Linked DNA regions of Neodiprion lecontei. The protein of the gene in region 1 purifies or fractionates together with the protein of each later gene. This does not show direct contact. Links are inferred from orthologs where the notes say so. Each region holds a gene or a part of one and is shown in the gene's direction. Other genes may lie near its edges. The genes, in order: DNA polymerase interacting tetratricopeptide repeat-containing, protein of 47 kDa; protein HGH1 homolog.

What was found.
Region 2: the proteins of DNA polymerase interacting tetratricopeptide repeat-containing, protein of 47 kDa (region 1) and protein HGH1 homolog purify together in Homo sapiens (co-immunoprecipitation; 4 studies listed by BioGRID and IntAct, counting the BioPlex papers as one, with this or other methods). This does not show direct contact. The link is inferred for Neodiprion lecontei from reciprocal best matches to the Homo sapiens genes TTC4 and HGH1.

Annotation. Positions count from the first base shown.
Region 1 is NC_060260.1:27,850,005-27,854,929, reverse strand, and holds the start of DNA polymerase interacting tetratricopeptide repeat-containing, protein of 47 kDa, read left to right. Parts: upstream 1-1,837; 5' UTR 1,838-1,979; intron 1,980-2,342; 5' UTR 2,343-2,350; coding exon 2,351-2,627; intron 2,628-2,947; coding exon 2,948-3,119; intron 3,120-3,341; coding exon 3,342-3,534; intron 3,535-3,626; coding exon 3,627-3,907; intron 3,908-4,262; coding exon 4,263-4,427; intron 4,428-4,925.
Region 2 is NC_060261.1:15,413,794-15,421,678, reverse strand, and holds the start of protein HGH1 homolog, read left to right. Parts: upstream 1-1,592; 5' UTR 1,593-1,642; coding exon 1,643-1,727; intron 1,728-1,783; exon of another isoform or gene 1,784-2,122; intron 2,123-5,242; exon of another isoform or gene 5,243-5,420; coding exon of another isoform or gene 5,421-5,436; intron 5,437-5,552; coding exon 5,553-5,787; intron 5,788-6,202; coding exon 6,203-6,436; intron 6,437-6,579; coding exon 6,580-6,864; intron 6,865-6,946; coding exon 6,947-7,108; coding exon of another isoform or gene 7,109-7,112; intron 7,113-7,791; coding exon 7,792-7,885. Other genes in the region: PAXIP1-associated glutamate-rich protein 1, read right to left, coding at 120-354, 658-818, 1,005-1,073.

The DNA of each region.
Region 1 (4,925 bases):
TGCTAAGATTACTTTAGATAAAATTGAAAATGCATCGTAGAAGAGCCATAAGATTAATACCATGAATTCAAGTACTTTTACCAATGTTTTCAGTATGCAATAGATAAGCAATGTTCACTAACGTGAAAGTTATTCGATATGCCATATCAAAAACTCGCATTTAAGGAAGACAAATTGAAATTGCTAATTAGAACCAAATAACTGTAGGCCTACTTTAGAACATTCGTGATGCTATAATTTTTATAGAATTTATTTTCAAAAGAAACAATAATTCCAACCAATGTTATAACGTTCGCATAATATAACGTATATCCTTTACTGGACGGTAAACTACAATTACTTTTTAGAGGATAAAGGATTTCTAAGTTTCTAACTTATGTGATTAACAATCAGTTATCGATATTTATAACGATCCACTCGCGCATGTGTATTTAAATGCGTATACCTACAAATACATATGTGCGCGTGTTACGGACCGTCTGAATCTTTATATAACATACACATCTATTATACATATATACATATAAATGAAGTTTATTTTTTGTGTTTCGTCAGTGTTGTATACACATATTTTCTTGTTTCTTTATTAAGCTTCAAATCATGTAGGAATTATGATATTGAACTAGTTGAAATTTTATTTATTATTGAATACTGCACTGGTGTCAAGATTTTTGCAATAAAAGCGTAAGTGCAGAATGTTTAACGACGATGTAATCGTCCAAAACTTAATATACGTATACAGAATATTAAACATACCGAAGTTTTCAGAGAATCACGAAAAAATAAACAAAAATTTAATTTGTGAATTAACATTGTTTGAACAGCCATTGTTTACTGCTTTAGTAGAATCAATTTTGTGGCCATTTTAATAATTATACCGAGAAAGCTGAAAGGCTTACATTAGCTTTAGTAGCGAGTTGGATATCTTATGTAGTTTGAAAATGTCATTCAAAGTGATCAATTATACAATTTTTAAACGACCATTGCTAGGCTGTAGTTTCCAGACACATGTACATGGTTCTGAGAGTAGTTCCACGATTATTATTATTTTTGTACAAAATCTAATATGATAATTTTGAACATGCATAAGAACCCGTACTAACTCAATCAATTATTGTATTTATGATAAAACAGTTATCATTAGATAGTTTTCGCTGAGAGCGGAAAAATTATTTAAAAATATATTCCACAAATTTGCAATATTGTACAAATTTTGTGTGAATATACAAAAAAATTAAATAAACTTACAAAAAATACGACAAAAGATAACAAAAAAAAGTAAAAAAAAAAAAAAAACGTTATTCGGGAATTATGATGGGTAGAGGAGCAATGTCCTGTATTTAGCTATTTAATACAAGGTTGGATTGCAAGGAAGATTTTTATATTGCTTATTAAGAATAACTATTAGACTATAGGAAAATACTAAGTGCAGCGTAGAACATCGTTTCAAGGTGGACTTCCAACGAATCGAAATGTAAATAATAATCAATAATGTTTTCTATTTAACAATTACAAAAATAACATTATGTTATGTTTTTTCAGTTTGAATCTGAACATAGTGAAGTGACATTGTGATACACGAACACAAATGTATACATAATGTTGTTAAACAGTGTACTCCAACATGAATATACGTATAATATGTGTGCATTATTTATTTCAAACTGTTAATGCCCAGTTATGTGTATATTCATGGTCAGTTGCAGACGCGAGTGTGTATATAAACATGTAATACATTAAATTTGTCTCCTAATACGAAATAAAATGTATTTTTAACGGTAGCATTTTTATTCCTCAATGTATTGCTTTTTTCTTCAGACTCAATGTCATGCGAATTCAACATGTTGTACTTACGACTAGCAGCCATGTGTTTGCCATGCTTGCGTGACGTGTGTGAAGCGTGTGAGATTGAGAGTCAGTGAAAAATATACGCACGACATCTGGGTGCTTTTTTCTATGAACAATAAGAGAAGTCATAGGTGAGCATACAAATTTTCGTCACTATAATATTATTTTTTGAATAGATATTTACTTAAAATCAGTTTTGAACCGTTGCTCGATTCTTTGATTAGGTAAGTTAGGTTATGGTGCAAACGGTACATGTCTTTTTAGTTTCAATTTCTATGAATCTTTTTGCAGGACATCCGTAAGAATCAATATATTTGTACTTTTACTTAATTTACGATTGTTATAATCACTATTAGGTTACATTTTTTAAATCAAAATCAGTATATCACTTTAATATATCTTCAACATGACTGAACATAACCTGTAACAATAGTAATACCTTTGTATTGCAAGAATCTGATGATATTTTTTCATACTCATCAACTTACATTTAGGATTAACAATGAATGCTGAAAATATAAATAATGCCAAGAAAAAGTCTTGGACCGAAAATGAGCGCTTAGAACTTGCCGCTAAATTGGACGCTGAGTTGGATGACTATATTAATAACTTGGAGCAAAAACAATATACCGAAGGATGGCCAGAAGATCGTTGGGAAGCCGAAATGGATAAGCATCCTTTCTTCATGAAAAAAGCTCCCCAAGTTGGAGACGAATTATCACCGCTAATGGAAGGCTTGCAACAGTTGAAATATGATGAGAACGAAAATACTCCCGAAGGTTGGTGAGCAAACAATAGATAAAGCTGAAACTAGCAAGTAATAGTTAGCAGGTAATACAGGCGGAAAGGTTTCAGGGGATGACCAAATGATGAAACACGGCAGAATTATTCAGGGAACTCTTTCGAATATATTCCTTAATATTTTATCGTTAGCTCACTCCCTGTAAGCTCTCCACAGGTATTACCTGCCAGTTTCAGTATCATAAACTATAATGCATATCATTTTGGTAAACAGTGTACGGAAAGTAGAAACTCGTCATAGTAAGCCCAAGGTGTTGAAGAAGGCATTTTTTTATAATTCTGTGGTTTGGTATTTCAGAATTAGCAAATAACTACAAAGAAGATGGTAATTTCAATTTCAAATACAAGAACTACCGTCTAGCTATAATGGGGTACACAGAAGGCATCAGAACTAAATGTAAAGATGGTGATTTAATGGCTCAGCTTTATAATAATCGAGCTGCTGCACATTACATGCTTCAGAATTACCGGTAAATATATCTCTTATATCATAGTCATTGTTCAGTTCATATTTCCAAATACTGTGGAGATCAAAGTGATTAATTTTTTGACGAAATTATTTAAGCTTTAAAAGTAAGCCATGTTTGGAATGAATCCAAGTGGTCCAGGCACTAGTTACTTTAATAGAAAACATATCTTTCATCCTAGTCCACTTTTCATTTAACAAATATCTGCATTTATGAAAATTTCAGATCAAGTTTAAACGATTGCAAACATGCTTTGAAACTTAAGCCAGACTATCCAAAAGCATTAAACAGAGCTGCAAACTGCTGTTCGCAGATCAAGGACTATGATCAATGTATTACTTACTGTGATCAATTTCTCGAAAAATCTCCGTCGGAAAAGGTGATATTAAATCTTAGAAATGAAGCAGTAGCTAACAAGGTAAGATGCGGTTTACAACAGTATTCTGTACTGAGCTCATCAGCTATAACCTTGAATACTCACACTGTTGAAAAACTATTGAAAATTTACAGAAAAAATTGGAGAGGGATAAACGTCGAACTGATGCTTTGGCTAAGAAAATTGACCGAGAAGAGGAGACTTTACTTGAAATAATTCAGAGCAGAGGTGTGAATATCGAATTGGACTCAGGGAAGAGACACCTGCAACTATCTGATCTTGAACCGTGCATACCACAAATAGCCCAGAACAGAGTGCATTTGATGGAAGACGGCCGTCTGGTTTGGCCCGTTATAATTTTATATCCAGAAACTCAACAAACAGATTTCATTCAAGAATTTCACGAAGATACCAGGTACTTTTAATATTATTACTATCATTATCATTGATAAGATCAATTATCTTATACTGCATAAACAACCGAAAAAATGCCATGCGTATTAAACCACTTTCTTGGACCCGATGAAATCTAACTATTTATACTAGGATGAAAATTACTGAAGGAGTTGGTAGTTCAAATTAGTTTGATGTTGTACATTTGAACGCTGCCTTTAACCACATTTACACGCAGTATGATCTACTTGAGCATTTAGAAAAATCTGGTGCAGTAATTGATAAAAACTTTACACGCCGTTGTTTGGCTGGGAACCGCATATTTGCTGTTACTGTATTTTCACTTCATACTCAAATATTGGTGGTTTATGTTCCAGGTTGATAACCCAGTTGAAAGAACTGTTTGAAGAACCTCCGGGATGGGACACAGGAAGGCGGTATTATCCAGAAAATTTAAATGTGTATTTTGAGGGTAAAGGGAAACGCACTGTTCACAAAATTGACGTTGAAGCAACACTTGGAAAAATTCTGGCTGACCAGAGGTGAGAGTTTTGAGATTTAATTGATTATTGTATTACGTTTGCAAAAAGTTTCGATAAAGTTAGAAATCAAGGACGAACATCGCTATGATTTTTAACTCCATTTTACAGTAAAGGCGTGAAATCGTGATAAATAGTAACTTGATACTTACGTACCTATAATCCGAAACCCGCCTTTATTGCATTCTCTTTTATGTGATATTCTGCATCGATGAAATTAGACAAGTTATTGCAGTAATTTACTCTATCAGGACAAAGGATTCTTCGAAATATAAATAGAGACATATCCAATATCGAGCGTGTTATTGGCAATATTTGCTGCAGTTGAATGGAATTTTATCGTTCGAATCATACCCGGTACATATTTCGCAATTTAGACAATAATAGGAGGCATTGTGTTTTACTGCACCTACTAGCGGGTGGCTCTCTCGAATCTCTTTTTCTTTCCGGGAATTTGAAAGTGCGCTTAATACTACGGCTGTGGACCGGTTTTACAGAAAC
Region 2 (7,885 bases), on another chromosome or scaffold:
CAAAAACTGAAAAATTACCAGTACAAAAGGGTCTTATTGTCAAACCCTGCAAAACCGACAAACTGTTCCAACAAATAATGTAGGTAAATTTTCATAGTTCGAACTTAACAAATGAAGTCCTATTGAGTTGCCTGTGGCTTGGGGTTTGGGGAGTTAGCTTCTGGCTTTTTAGGACTAGAGTTGATTTCTTGTTGTTCCAAGCGTCGGTGTCGGAGCATTGTAGATAAGACCCCGTTGAAACTTGCAGTCTTTTTCTTGGCACTACCTTTCGGAGTGCTTTCCCCAACTCGCCGAACTGGCATCCGTGGGGACGACATTTCATCCATAAAGTCAAAATCAGACTTCTCTTCAGTTCTATTAGATAGAACAAGAATATATTTTTCTTTCTACTTTGCAAGTAACTTTTATCCATCAATAAACTTTTCGCTTGTATTAGTAGAAAATAATATATTGGTCATATTATACTGTATATTATGTTTGTATAATTTTTAGATAAAACTCATATTTCTATGTGTATTTATATGAAAATCATGATATCAAATCATTTATATGTATATATTTTGGTACAAGAATGATATAACATGCATATATATTAGAAACTGTTGATAATATAAAAAATTATGCTGCATGTCTGTATGGAATTACATAATTACTTACTTATAATCCTGTGAAGTGTGATCCTGTTGACGATTATTGGTGGGTACTGGCGAAGGGCCTCGTCTTCCTGGACATTTCCATTCCAGTTCAAGAATATGATGGTTCACCTCCAATCCTTCAATCAATGCCATTATACTCTCTGGCTGCAGAGTCCATTCGTTCTGTGGAATTAAAAAATTGTTTTACAAACTTGACGATATCTCGAAAGGCTTGAGTCGATATCAAAATTACGAATTAGGTCTACACAACTTTCCATACTCTGAAACTTGGAAAATTTACAATACTCCATTCTAACTCGACTCGCTATAATTTATTGAAATCATTATTGAAAAAAGTGTTATTAGTACCGCTGTAGTTGCCTCATATTTTTCATCGTCAGAGCATTCGACTGACCAATCCTCGTCGCTCTGTTCCATACTTATGAAAAATGGTCAAATTTTCAACATGTCATATCCAGTGATTTAAGGTTAATCCGTTCAACGTCCGAATACATTCAGACGGGACAATTTATATTATTCTAAGGCATCCAGCGTTCAATGCGACTTTGGCATTTGTTGCAAACCTCAAAGATCGCCCTAGATTACTTTATTTCTACTATAAACAAATGTTCGATCGAATCTCAGACAACCGGATTACACTTGTATTTTACGTTACTTTATGTCACGTTACGTTACACAAGGGCGTAGCCATGTCTGTTTGGTGGCTTGGTGCTTTGCGGCGCGTTGTCTACTACGTACAGTACAAAAGTAATCTCAGACGGAATCCACAAGCCGTACGCACAATTCAGAATCTGCCAATGAGACCTGAGATCATTTTGTGGAATTATAGAGAATAATGCGTGAATTCCATAATCCCCAAGCAAAATTTAACAATCAATGGTACATGTAATAATTCCATGTGATTCAACTTTCGGTATCATATAACGGCACCGTGGAGTCAAGTTGCGTTTAGATCTCGGTTAAAACATATTGTGAAAGTCGTGCTAATGGAAGCAATTGAAGAAATATCACAATTTTTAGACATTGGAACTCGGTTGGATTTAAAATCCATCGCTTTGCAGCACGTGCTGAGTAAGTTTATTACCCTATTGATTATTCATTGACCAATATCAATAAGTCTACATTAACCTAAAATATCATATCATATTGTGATGTTCTTGTCTTTGAGCTTGTAAGAAATTAATTAGGACATTTGTTAAATAACACCTCAGGGCCAAAAATCATAACATGACAATAATCGTCCAATGAAGGAGTTATCGAAGTGAAAACTTCTTTAGCGGCGCTTTTGTATGAACATATATCGTAAGAGATTCAGTCACGCCACATGGAAATTAAATTCAGTCGAGGTAGGCTTGAAGATGAAGAGATATCTTCAGTATCAACTGAGATACATGCAACAATTCTGCCTTCATCGACCAAGGTATTTCTGCAATGAGTCTTTGACTGAAGATTATTAAAGGCAGCAGGTAAATGTAAATGACTTATGTGATGTCAGCCTGCGATTTTTGAATTTTTCAAATGATTTTATACCAACTAATTGCTCCCCAACTTCTCTTAATTGCTCTCTAAATTTGATTATTTGCATTCACACGGTTCTCGAGAAAATCGCAAAAAATGCATCTTCGGCAGCCGTCAGGTGTTTCAAGGATTTTAAAAATCCGCAGAATTTCCAAAGAATTCATGTACCAAATAGTTGCTCTTCAATTGCTCCCTAACTTTTATTATTTGCTCCTACACAGTTTTCAACAAAATCCAATTAAAAGAAAAAAACTGTTCAAATTCAAAAAAGTGTTTCGAACAAACTGATGGTTATTCAAACGAAATGATATTTGCTTTCCATTGTACCTTAATTACTCCCAATCTTATGTTATTTTTGTTAATTGCGTCTGCGTGGTTTCGAATAAATCGAGAAAAAACGAAGAGGGGCTTTTCGCGAAGCGTTGTCGAATTCGATTTGATATATTCCCTAAATTAATATATATATATGTATAATCCCTTAATTTCTCCTGGGCATCTCGTAATTACTCCATAAGTCTTATAATTTGCTTCTTCATAGTTTTCGAGAAAATAGGTAAAAAACAAAGGGAGTAGTTTGGAGGTTATATCGACGAGCGGCAGATTTACACTGAAATCTCCTATATAGAAATATTCAATTCGGCTCAAATACATATTGTTTCCAATTTCTTCTCGATTTGTTATCAATTATATATCAATTTTGTCATTTCCTCCATCGTAATTTTTGAAAAAAACCGGGAAAAACATCACTGACTGATGGTGTGGCCGAGAGTCGAATAGTTTCAGATTCAAACTCGTGTCCGTATCGGAAAAATAATAGTTCGGCCCAACTGCCAAATGCTCGTCATCGCTCCTCGATTTTTATAAGTATTCTGTCAGTTTAGTCAATTGCTACTACCTAATTATGGAGAAAACTGGTAAAAACTAGAGCAACTGGTTTGTAGGTTACGTCGACGAGCAGCGGATTCGAAGTTGTATCCGGGAATGCGGTTTGATACTACAGAAATCGGTTCTACAGAGCAAATGTTATACAGAATATGTTCTACAGACTCATTTCTACAGAAATAATTTTTCACATCAGGAATAATCCCATGAATAATCCTGCATGAATTATTCTACAGAAGAATTGTTCAACAACATATTTTTCTACAAAATATTTTTCTACAGAACATTTTTCTACAGACAAATTATTTTACAGAATAGTATGTTTGACGCAACACACTTTCAGAGCAATCATCGAATCGTCAAAATCATATGACTCGACAATTTCGTACATTTTGATTTAATTTAATTTAATTTAAATTGTTTTTATTGAATTTATGTGTGTGTTGTGTCAAACGGGTATTATGTTGGATGTGTGAAACTAGAAAACTATTCTATAAAAAAATATTATGTAGAACAATATCTTGTAAACTGATTTTCCTGTCAAATAATTCATGCAGGATTATTTCTGATGTGAATCTCGAATTCTCTTCTGTAGGAAAATATTCTGTAGCAAAATATTTCTGTAGAAACGAGTCTGGATAACATATTCTGTAGAACATTTGCTCTGTAGAACTGATTTCTGTAGAATCGATCCTCTCCTATCCGGAACAGGAATAATCTCGATTTGGCCAAAGTGACAATTGATTATATTCGCTCCTTGATTGATCTTCACGCATCCACCAATATCATCCCAAGAACATATTGCTTCTAATTGCTCCTCGATTCCTTATTCAATCGTCAAAACTATGTGGGAGCAAATAATAAAATTAGTAGTACGGAAATAGCTATCAAGGAATAATTTGAAGCAAAAGTCACTTTTGCTGAATCGACATGTTTCTTGTTTCGGATACTATTTTGAATCCGCCGCTCGTCGACGTAACCTACAAACCAGTTGCTCTGGTTTTTAACAGTTTTCTCGATCACGAAGCAGAACCAAATGACCAAATGAACAGATCACGTATAAACAATCGAGGATCAGTTAGAAGCAATATGCACTAGGGTGGAATTATCATTTTTTCGTTAGAATCGAGAATTTTCCACGACTCGACCCTCGGCCACGCATGAGTCACTTTCGTTTTTCCCAGTTTTCTCGAGAATTACGGGGAAGTAAACCGTCAAATTGATAGATAATTGATAAGAAATCGAGGAGCAATTAGAAGCAATATGCACCTGGGTCGAATTGATAATTTCTTGCTGGGGATTCCAGTTTAATTGTAAGTCTCCCGTTCGTTCGTATAACTTCCACACTGGTCCCTTTATTCTTTCCCAGTTTTCTCGAAAATTATGATTGAGCAAATTACGAGACTTACGGAGCAATTACGAGCTGTCAAGGAGCAATCAGTATCAAATGTCATTTTATTTTAATAATCATCGGTTTGTCCCGAACACTTCTTTGAATTTGGCGCTATTACCGGGGCTGACGTGCCCGATGAGTTTTTTTTTTTTTTGATTCTCTTGAAAACCGTGTTATGTCTGTTATGGACTATTGAACTGGATTCTTTCCCTCTTAAAGTAAATATACCTGATGGGTTGTTGGTAGGATATTAATCAATAACACAGGCTTGCGATGGTTCCCTCCCCGTAAAACTGAGTAGTATTTTTATTAGGTATTAGGAACGGATCTGCGAAAAAAAACATTATAAAAATTCTATCGCGTAAATTTTCTTTGATGGCGAGTAGCGTGAGGCTACATGGAGATAGGACAGGATAGAGACTAGGTATAACGCGACGTTAGAAGTGTGGGAGAGTTAGCAAGTAGGAGCAATAAATAGGAACGACGTGTGGCGGTACACCGAATGTAAGAACCGTATAAGAGTGTATAATAAAAGTTAGGGCGTAATTCAGAGTAATTAAGGAGCAATTATTTGGCGCACTATTTTTTGAAAAATTCGATGGTCGCAGGCCAACTTCACACATATAGCTGAATGGGGCATTTTTAAGCTCCGTAAAGAAAGTTCTTATCGTAACATACTCGAATAACATAAGCCCCATAAGCAAGTTGATAAATGTAGGGCACTATGTAATTATCGCACCCGGTGTGACCTAGTAGTTGCTTTCAAAGGATACCCGTGACCGGCTGTTTTTAGCAATCCTCCGGCAACGTCAAGAGCATTGAAGATAGGGGGATAATAGCATTGCCCTAGATTTAGTGACTCGTTCATGGGACTTTGAAGCTCTTCACCCCATCCCCTATCTAGTTTCAAAAAGCCTCATTTATCTGGCTGCCAGAGATGTGACTATTAGCAATCTTCGGTCAACGAAAGAATGCATATTTTGATGGGTAAAGCCGAGACCAGTTACATGCTCTTCATTATTCTTTCATATATGACGGGCACAAAATATGAATTGACTAATTACATTGAATATAGTTTTATTGTTCACGAATTATTGTTTTAGGTGTAACAGGCAGCAATGATGGAATTGAGCTGTTATTGAGCTTACCTGAAATAGTAAGGCAACTTGTTCTGCTGGTACAGGATAATTCAACATCAGTCTGCAAAGATGCCGCTCTTTCATTGATTAACATATCAGCTTATGATGGTGGAGCGAATGCATTACTGGTTATATCAGAGACATCGAAGATGAGACCAGATGAAAAACCAAATGATAATCTAGTACATACTTGCCTTAGGTAGTAGATACACTTCCTAATGATAATCAACATATAATTGTAAAAATATGAAATTGCCCTCATCAGTTCTCAGTTAACTAAACATAGATTATAACAAATTTATTTGTTGATAACAAAAGGCAAAAAGAAAGAAGAACCTGGATAAGCATTGTAATTGTTTCACCAAGAAAAAAATTCAGTTAGAAAAAATAAACAATTTCATGCAGTGATTTTCTCAGTTCATGATGAACTATTTATTTTCAAATTCTTTCCAATGAAATTGAAGTTATCAAATTAACGTTTTTCTACTTCCTTTTTAGTAATCTGATAACAATCGAACACGTTTGGTTTCTTTTGGATTAGGTATAATAGAAAAATGATCATGGATAGGATTTGAAATTTTTTTCCGACTTATAGTTCTATTTGTTATTTGCAGATGCATTTTGGATAAGCAGAACGACTTGGCTGACCCATGTTGCATGATTTTGTCTAATTTAACGCGAGCGCATTCTCTGACAGAAAGAATTTTAGCGGTAGTTAATAATAGCGGTTATGCATGGAGCGCAATAATTGCCGCCTTTACGGCTCAGAAATATAACGAAAAGGGAGCCACCCTCCATTACTTAGGCCCTGTTTTCAGCAATCTTAGCCAATCTATTACCATGCGAAGGTATGTTCTCTGTACAAAGTAACGTTAGTAAAATGCCAATTATTTCTAAAATTGCACAAAGTTACAAAACTACTGTCAAATCTTCTGTCTATACAAAGAAAAGTTGTTAATATAGATCAGCTTACATTTTTCTATTCTTTTAGATATTTATTGGACAAAGAACATTGCGTCATTCAAAGACTTCTTCCCTTCACAGAATATGTTGAAAGCACGGTAAGACGTGGCGGAATTGTGGGCACATTGAAAAACTGTTGTTTTGATACGGAATACCATGCATGGTTATTAGGCCCTAAAGTGGACATTTTACCTCGACTTTTATTGCCCCTTGCTGGTCCGGAAGAGTTCAACGACGATGATAATGACAAACTTCCGATAGAACTACAGTATTTGCCTGAAAACAAAACTAGAGATTCCGATCCTGACATCAGGTAAACCGGAGAAAGATACACTAGAGAAAAAATACAGTTTTAGGATTCTGTGATAACATATTTCGTTGTATATTATCTTCAGAACAATGCTGTTGGAGGCTTTGGCTCAACTATGCGCAACAAGGGAAGGCCGTGAAATACTGAGGGATAAGAATGTATACGTTATCCTGAGAGAATTTCACAAGTGGGAAAAAGACAGAGCAGTTCTATTGGCGTGCGAAAACGTTGTGGATATATTGCTCAAGTTAGTTCTGATTTTTAGACAGTTTCTAATTGTTTCTGAAAAGTGAAAAATTTTAGTAATTTCTCGAAATTTTGAAGACCTTTCTCAATTTATATGCAGAAAATTAATGTCGGCAGATTTGTGGAAAAAATTTGCTACGTTTGAAAACTCTCTGAAAAGATTCCGCAATTATAGTTTTAATGACTATATTATTTTATGAATGTCCAGATTTTCTCAGCTGCATTTGAGATGGTTTAATTTCAACTGCTTCTCAAAAGTTTTTAATTACTCTCACAAAGCCATCCCAATTTCTCCTAACGCGTTACGGTCGGAAAATACGAAGAACCACTAGAACTCGGAATTTTTCAGATCTGTGATACAAAACGGAGTTCTGTCAAAATATGAGTTCTTTCTAGAAGTTGATTCGACTTTCACCCCTAACTCGATTCTGTCAGAAGCAGCCAGATGAAATAAAGTTTTTCATATTTTTGACAAAAAAACATACAGTTTCGAACAGAATCCGAGTTGTTATTGGAACAATTCAAAGTTTTGCTGAAAAAAAAAACAGTATTTTTCTCAGAACTGTCCGAAAAAATAGTATATTTCTGTGAAATATCTTCAAAAGACTATAAGAAGTTTTTGAAATTTTTTTACTAGTATCATAATGAAACAATAAAACAGAAGAGTTAATAAATATTTTTCAGAAAAGAGGAAGAGATCGGCTTGGACAATTTGAGGGAAGTAACCATACCTGAGGAGTACAAGGAAAAATTCAAAAAAATGGACGAAGAATATATA